Linked DNA regions of Callithrix jacchus. The protein of the gene in region 1 interacts with the protein of each later gene in a biochemical or structural test. Links are inferred from orthologs where the notes say so. Each region holds a gene or a part of one and is shown on either strand. Other genes may lie near its edges.

Region 1 (2,999 bases):
CCACACCCCACCTTGCCAGTTTTCCCCTTGTCAGACCCTCACCCAGCCTCAGCCAGGCCCAGGAGCTCCTGCTAGAGGCCAGTCAGCTTGACAGAACATTCTAGAACCCTTTGGGAGACCAGTGTAGGAAGAAAAAAGAAAGACTTGCTCCCTTCCTTCAGGCTGCCCCCAGTCTGATGAAGAAATGGGACACCAAGAAAGCTAGACCCCAGACAGAGAAATGAAGTAAAAACCTTGTCCAATGTGAAGAGAACGTGGAGATTTAGGGTAATGGTGGAGACAACTCCCAGGTCACCACAGGGAAGGGAGACAGCAGCTTATACACAAGCACAGATATTAGAGTACTGAGCTCAACCACCCAGCAGCAAATTACTCAGTTTGGTTGAACTCACGGTATATGTGCTCCAAACTGATAGGCTCTGTAAGAAACAGGGATGACAGGAACACAGTCTCCAAGAAGCTTCAGAGGAGAAGACGTGAGCCGGGCAGTGTACTGAGGGAGTGGGAAGGCCGCCACCTTAGCAGGGAAGGCTTCTCGGAAGAGGTTGCCTTGAGCCTGCAGACTGCCAGACCAGGAGGGTGGCGTGGGGCCTTGGAGGAGTTTTCCCTGAGGTGCACCGAGGTGGGAACTGGCCCCGTAGCTGCCACTATCACCCAGTGCTCCCAAGCCACACAGCTGCCCTTTTCCTGTGGGGCCTCAGCTTGGCCCACGTCCACCTGCCTGGCAGAGTCCTAGGACCTTACCAGCTGGGGAGGGGTGTCAGGATTTCTTATCATCCGAGGAGAGTGGTTTTCTATGACCCAGCTTCTCTTGAGCTGTGGGGCTGTCCAGCCTGGTAAGTCCCTGCTGTGTCATCCACAGGAGCGGCCTGTGGAGGTGGGTGACTGGAGGAAGAATGTGGAGGCCATGTCTGGGATGGAAGGCCGGAAGAAGATGTTTGATGCTGCCAAGTCTCCAACCTCACAATAGAGGTACCTAGAGACCAGCTCCCTTCTCTGGGGTCCAGCAGAGTCTAGAGGATAATGTCGGAGTCTGCAGTCAGCAGGCGGGTTGTACCCAGTGTGGTGCAGGGGGGAAGGCACCGATGAGACTGATGAGGGCCAGCTAGCTGGGCTCAGTCCTGGCTCCAGCACCGTGATACCTTGGGCATGTCATTTCTGTTTGGGGGTGCTATTTGTTCCCCACGTCTATGAAATTGGGGGCTGTATCAAATCAGTGGTTCTCCAAGTGTGGTCCTGGGACCAGCAGCATCTTTACCACCTGGGATGCAAATGATCAGCCCCCACCCCAGATCCACTAAATTGGAAACTCTGGGGTGAGGCCAGCCTTCTAGGTGACTGTGATGCACACGAGAGTTTGAGAACCACTAGATTAGAGGATCCTTGGGGTCCCTCCTTCTCTGACTTTCTGAAAATCTATGCTCTTTTAAACATCTCCTGGTGATGTCCTTTATTTGTGCTCCCTGCAAAGTACCCAGCAGTCACAGTACCTGTTCCCAAGGAGCTACCACTCAGAGAAGCTAAGGCTTCTCACCCCCTGAGGAAATAGCTGGGAAAACTGAGCAAAGCAAGGAAATTAGGCCACATGAAGCCCTCTATGGAAGTGCTGAGACAACGTGCAATAGGGCAGGCATCCACCAGATAGCATTGGTCAGAGCAGGCGCTCTGGAGAGGAGGAGTCTCTGAGGACGTGATGGGTTAACTGGTAAGGGGAAGGGCACGTCCAAGGGCTGATGGTGCCACAGAAGCATGGAGTTGGGAATTAAGCAGCCACGGCGTAGCATGGTAAGGCCAGGTAAAAGCTGAGGCCACAGTGTGGAGGAGCGGTGTGAGGGGTCCTAAAAGGTGGAGAACTGTGCCCACGGACTGTGCCCACGGACTGAGAAGCTGAGGTTTTGTAGGAGCTCCTACAAATGAAGATCTGGCCAGGGGTGTGCTAGGTGTGAGAAGCCCTGGGACTGCATGTGCTGTAGGTAAGTCAGGGATTCATGCGCTGCACACAGGTCTGCGGGAACTGATGGCTTCGCCTCTCTGTCCCTACAGGCCAGCTTGCTGTGCTGCGCTCTGGGCTCCTGCTTCATGCTTCTTCTCCAACCCAGCTCACTCACCTCTCTGCCCGTGTCCAGAGCATCCTGCCCCACCCCCACTTCTTCCCTCCAGCCTGCATGCCCTCCTCTGGAACTGGGAATTCACAGATACCCAAGAGGCAGGACAAACACGAGTGTCTGAAGACCTCACCCCAGCAGAGTGGGCTTCCATCCACCCATGAGGCACCTGGGGTTTCCTGGCCACCCCATGGTGTCACAAGTGGAGGAAGAGGCGGGAGTGAGAGCAGCTTTCTTCCAGCCCCGTGCCACACCCCTTCTATGACGTGTACAGTGTCCACAGGCATCTCAGCCTCTTCATTAAAAACCCAGTTTCCTGGTCATTTCTGCAGCTCTGACTGAGAGCACTGAGAAGAAAGGGAAGGTGTGGGGCTTGTGAAGAGAGGGCTGCGCTGGGCTCCAGTCACTCTGTCTGCATCTGGAGCTCGGGATCTGAAGGGAGGGCTAAGGAATTGGTGGCTGCTTGCCAGGGTGCCCGGATCCCCTTCTGCCCAGTCCCTGTGACATTACACAGCACACATTAACCACCCAGGGTGCTCAGCTCACCAGAGCCCTGACCTCCGAGAACTGACCCAGTCCTGCCCCTGATTCTGGCCGTCAGGAGAGGCCTGTCTATTCAGAGCTGCTTCTCCTGCCGGGTTTCATGCTCTCCTTCCTCCGCAAACCTGGATTATCTCTCCCTGATGCCTGCTGGCTGTACCTGAAAGTGTTCTGGTCAGAGCACTTTCAATCCCTCACCTGGCCCTGTGGCACAGGGCGGGAGGCCCTGCAGAAGGGATACTTGCAGTTCCAGACATGGCCACCAGGTGACTCCTTCCCTCTGTCCTGGGCTCTCCTGTCCATCCCAACTCCACTCTTCCTACCCTCACTCACCTTCCTCCCAATTATTTCCCC
Region 2 (4,281 bases), on another chromosome or scaffold:
TAATCTCTACCTGCGTGGGGCCACCAACGGTACCCTGCGCAGCCTGCTAGAAACTGACCTCTCGGGTGGTGACCGCTCTGGGAATCGCCCCTTAGTCTCTCAGGAAGAGAGGACAGAAGGTCCCGAGCCTCCAGGCAACACGAAGCAAGTCACTGCTCCTCCTGGCCTCAGTTTACTCCTCCGGATAAAGGAGGCCATAATGGCGCCTCACTTGGCTGTTGGGCTCTTTCTCTTTAGGGCAAGACGGGCTGGAGGTGGAAATAGAACCTGTGCTTATCGCTGGAGTAGGGCGAGAGTGATTCTGGGCCGGTTCTGAACCTCTCCGAGACTCGGAGAGCTCTTGTCAGTGGGGCTTCTTGACAACGGAGTGGGTTGATTCATGCGGGGCCTGGCATGCAGTAGTGCTGGAAGCAAGGAACGTGTTTATCAAGACGGGGCTCTGTACGAAGGAGGGCGGAGACGGAGGTGGGAGGGGTGTGTGCTGCCAATGGGTACAGGAACCTCACGGGATGGCCTGTCAGAGTTCAAAACAGGAGGGAGACACGTTGACCTGGACCCACGAACTACAGTGCTAGAATAGGGAACTGAGTCCTAAACCAGGGGAAGATGAGACCTAGAAGAGGGAGGTGGTAACCTGACTGGAGGGTGAGGAGGGAGAGAGCCTGGCACAGATGGGGCATCTGTGGGGGTGCTGTTGAATTACAGAACAGCTGACTGAAGCCCGAAGGGGGCACTTCTCCCTGGGCAGATGGAAGGTCTGGGGCAGGCGCCTCTGGCAGAAGGGCTCCTGACTACCCTGCCCTAAGGTGGGTTAGCATCGTCCTCTGAGCTTGGGATTTGAGGCTTATCTTGGCAGGGCCCTGTACTCCCAACCCCCACTTGCACGTTGCACCCCATTCCAGAGAGGCTGAGTTAAAGGCAGGGGCTATCTTGGGCAAGCCACCACTCTTCCAGAGCCTCAGCTTCCTTATCTGGAAGGTAGGGGTCATAGCACCGGCCTCCCTGGTTGGTGGGAGCCTGGGCTGCTGTGTTGCAGGGGCCTTGCCTGGGGCCCACTACTTTGTGGCTCCTGTCCTGCCCTGGGCTCATGCTTTCATTCATTCCAGAAACCTTTTCAGAGTCCCTTGGGGAGTGTGGGGGACAGGAGCGAAAGAAACCTGGTTCTTGTAGCACTTCATCTGCTCCCTGCCTTGGGCAGAGGACGCAGGGACTCAGGCCAGCCTGACATCACTGGGCCCAGAGGAGGGGCTGGAGGATACTACACGCAGGGGTGGGCTGGGCTGGGCTGGCTGGGAATGCAGTGTGGGGGGGGGGGCAGGGCTATTTAAGTCGAGGGCCGGCTGGCAACCCCAGCAGGCTGTCGTGTGACCCACCAGCATGGATGACATCTACAAGGCTGCGGTGAGGGACAGGGCTGGGTAGGGCTGGGTTGGGCAGGCCCACTGGGGGCTCACTCATCTCAGAATGGGGGGCTGGTAGCCCCAAGGAAGCGGTGGGGGCCCAGGAGAGAGTCTCTGTACCTTCAACCCAGGCCCTCACAGGGACAGTGGTTCTGATGTTTGAAGATGCAGAAGGGGTAGGGGCTCAGGGTCTGAAGGGAAGCTGGTGTTTGGAGATGCAGAAGGGGTGGGAGTTGAGGTCTGAAGGGTGGTGGAGGAGGTCGCCACTTTCAGCATCATGTCTCACTCTGTTTCTAAGTGTCTGTAGTCTGTGGCACTGTCTCTCAGCCACATGTCTCTGCATTTGTCTCTGGACATTTTTGCCTTTCTTTTTTCATCTCTCTTCCTCCTAAGTTGTCTCTCTGAGTCCCTATTACTGTCTCCCTGTCCCCAACCTCCATTTCTGCCCCTCACATTCTGCTTCTCACACACTCACAATCTGCCACTCCACTCCAGCCCTTTGGTTGGTCGAAGATGCTTTGGAGGGTGGAGGGTGTGAGGGGAGGGGCCTGAGTCCTGGGCTGGAGATGGGGCTTTGAAGTTCGAGGCAGGGAAGTTTTGGACATGAGGGAGAACCAAGGAAGAAGGGACAGAGAACTGAGGCCCCAGCCCCCATCGTGCCTGGCAGGCTCAGGGCTCAGTGGCTTAGCTGGGGGTGAGAATGAGGGAATGAGGGCTAGAGAGTGGTCACCCCAAGCCCCTGCAGCCTCCTGGGTCACTGAGGGACTTGAGATGCTGTTCCATTCCTGGATGCTGGTGACCTCCCACTACCCCAGAACAAGGACATCCTGGCCTGGGTAGCTGTCCCCAGGGGAACCCCTCCCTCAGCCTCCCTCACTTCTGGGCAGGGAAGGGCTACAGCCAGCTCTGGGGGCATGCCTGCTTATCCTGTGGGAGTCCATGAAGCTGGGGTGGGGGCAGCCCTCCACCCAGTGCCCATACAAGGCCTGGCGGAGCTGGGGACTAATTTTGGCTCCTGAGGCGGCACTAGTAGGACAGGGGGCCAGATAACACTGCCCCACCCCCTGCATGCCAAAGTCCCCAGAACAATCACCAGGTTTAACTTTGTTCCTCGTTAAAAATAGCCCAGTGGCCACCCTGGTCAGGTTACAGTGGGTAGCTTGTCTACCCCCACATTGGTTTATTGTCCCAACTTGAGGGACAGCTGTTCCTTGGGCCACCCAGCTTGAGTTTCATCACGGGCCAAAAGGGTATTGAGTGGTCACTGACTATTGTTACTGAGGGTCACCTTGGCCCTGAAGGGGGTGCCCACCTGTCACACTGGCCCTGAGCCCAGTCTTAGTGAGGCTAGCTGGGGCACATCAGGGCTTTGTGGGGAGGGAGGGAGGACTGAGACCTCTGTTCTGTGGCCTGGAAATAGCTTGCTTTCCCCAGCTGCAGCTCTCACCTGTGGAATGGGTTGGTTTCAGCAGCAGCAGCTATGTGTGAGGCTGAGCCCTGAGAGTCCCTTTCCTTTCTAGGTAGAGCAGCTGACAGAAGAGCAGAAAAATGGTGAGAACCCCTATCACACGTGCGGGAGACCACCAGGGCCAGGTTGGGAGACCAGGCTGGGGAACGTGGGGACCCCTTACCAGAAGAGGAGCACAGACCAGAGACCAAAGGCTAGGTCCCTCTGCTCTGATCTCAGAGAGGTCTCTGAGGGAGGTGGGCAGGTTGGCAGGTGGCCCCAGGAGTCTGGCCCTCTGAGGTCCTGGCTGTTGAGCCCTGGCTATTGTGCCCCCCAACCTCTGTACACAGAATTCAAGGCAGCCTTCGACATCTTCGTGCTGGGCGCTGAGGATGGCTGCATCAGCACCAAGGAGCTGGGCAAGGTGATGAGGATGCTGGGCCAGAACCCCACCCCTGAGGAGCTGCAGGAGATGATCGACGAGGTGGACGAGGATGGTGAGCCCCTCCTCCCCAGGCTCTAGAGGAAGCCCAGCCAGCGTGGGGCTGGGATGCTGGCTCTGCTTAGCCGGAAGTGGTTTAGCCCCTCCGATCCTCAGTTGCTTCATCTAGAAAATGGGCATAATGGCCACAGAAGCCTGGCATTTGCATCCTCACACCAAATGCCAGGCTTCTGTGGCCACTCTTTGGGCTTGAGTCACCTGCAGTTTCCAACCTGGCCTCTGTAACTGCCTCCCAGGCAGTGGCACAGTGGACTTTGATGAGTTCCTGGTCATGATGGTTCGGTGCATGAAGGACGACAGCAAAGGGAAATCTGAGGAGGAGCTGTCTGACCTCTTCCGCATGTTTGACAAGTGAGCACGTGACCCTTGACCCCTGACCTTGACCCTCACTCAAGCCCAGCTGGGGTTAGGAGGGCAGTCTCAGATTCTAGGCCTAGGGACCCTGCAGCCTCTGCTTGATGGGGGAGAGGGATGCCCCATCTCCCAGCGTCCCTGTTCTTCCTAGGGGGCATGGTTGTGGTCCCTCTTGCCCTCCCTGCAGCCCTACCCTGGGCCCCCTCCCCACAGAAACACTGATGGCTACATTGACCTGGAGGAGCTGAAGATGATGCTGCAGGCGACAGGTGAGACCATCACGGAGGACGACATCGAGGAGCTCATGAAGGATGGAGACAAGAACAACGACGGCCGCATCGACTACGACGGTAAGCGGGTGGGTGGGCTGATCCCCTGCCACTGTGCCCTGCCAGCCCCACCCCTGACCCACACCTGCCCCTCTTTCCACAGAGTTCCTGGAGTTCATGAAGGGTGTGGAGTAGATGCCGACCTTCACCCAGAGCTGCCCATGCCCAGCCTTCAACTCCAGCCGAGTCCTGGGGCTGGGGAGCGGGTTGGGGTCCCAGGACCTGAGTCTGGTCATGTCCTCAACTCCA

Evidence for each region.
Region 2: the proteins of TNNI1 (region 1) and TNNC1 are reported together in a solved structure, tested with the Homo sapiens proteins (2 studies listed by BioGRID, with this or other methods). The link is inferred for Callithrix jacchus from reciprocal best matches to the Homo sapiens genes TNNI1 and TNNC1.

Annotation. Positions count from the first base shown.
Region 1 is NC_133520.1:28,425,145-28,428,143, reverse strand, and holds the end of TNNI1 (troponin I, slow skeletal muscle), read left to right. Parts: intron 1-862; coding exon 863-970; 3' UTR 971-972; intron 973-2,043; 3' UTR 2,044-2,212; downstream 2,213-2,999. UniProt on the Homo sapiens protein: Troponin I is the inhibitory subunit of troponin, the thin filament regulatory complex which confers calcium-sensitivity to striated muscle actomyosin ATPase activity.
Region 2 is NC_133516.1:34,981,891-34,986,171, reverse strand, and holds the start of TNNC1 (troponin C, slow skeletal and cardiac muscles), read left to right. Parts: upstream 1-1,351; 5' UTR 1,352-1,377; coding exon 1,378-1,401; intron 1,402-2,920; coding exon 2,921-2,951; intron 2,952-3,197; coding exon 3,198-3,344; intron 3,345-3,585; coding exon 3,586-3,700; intron 3,701-3,916; coding exon 3,917-4,053; intron 4,054-4,135; coding exon 4,136-4,167; 3' UTR 4,168-4,281. UniProt on the Homo sapiens protein: Troponin is the central regulatory protein of striated muscle contraction. Tn consists of three components: Tn-I which is the inhibitor of actomyosin ATPase, Tn-T which contains the binding site for tropomyosin and Tn-C.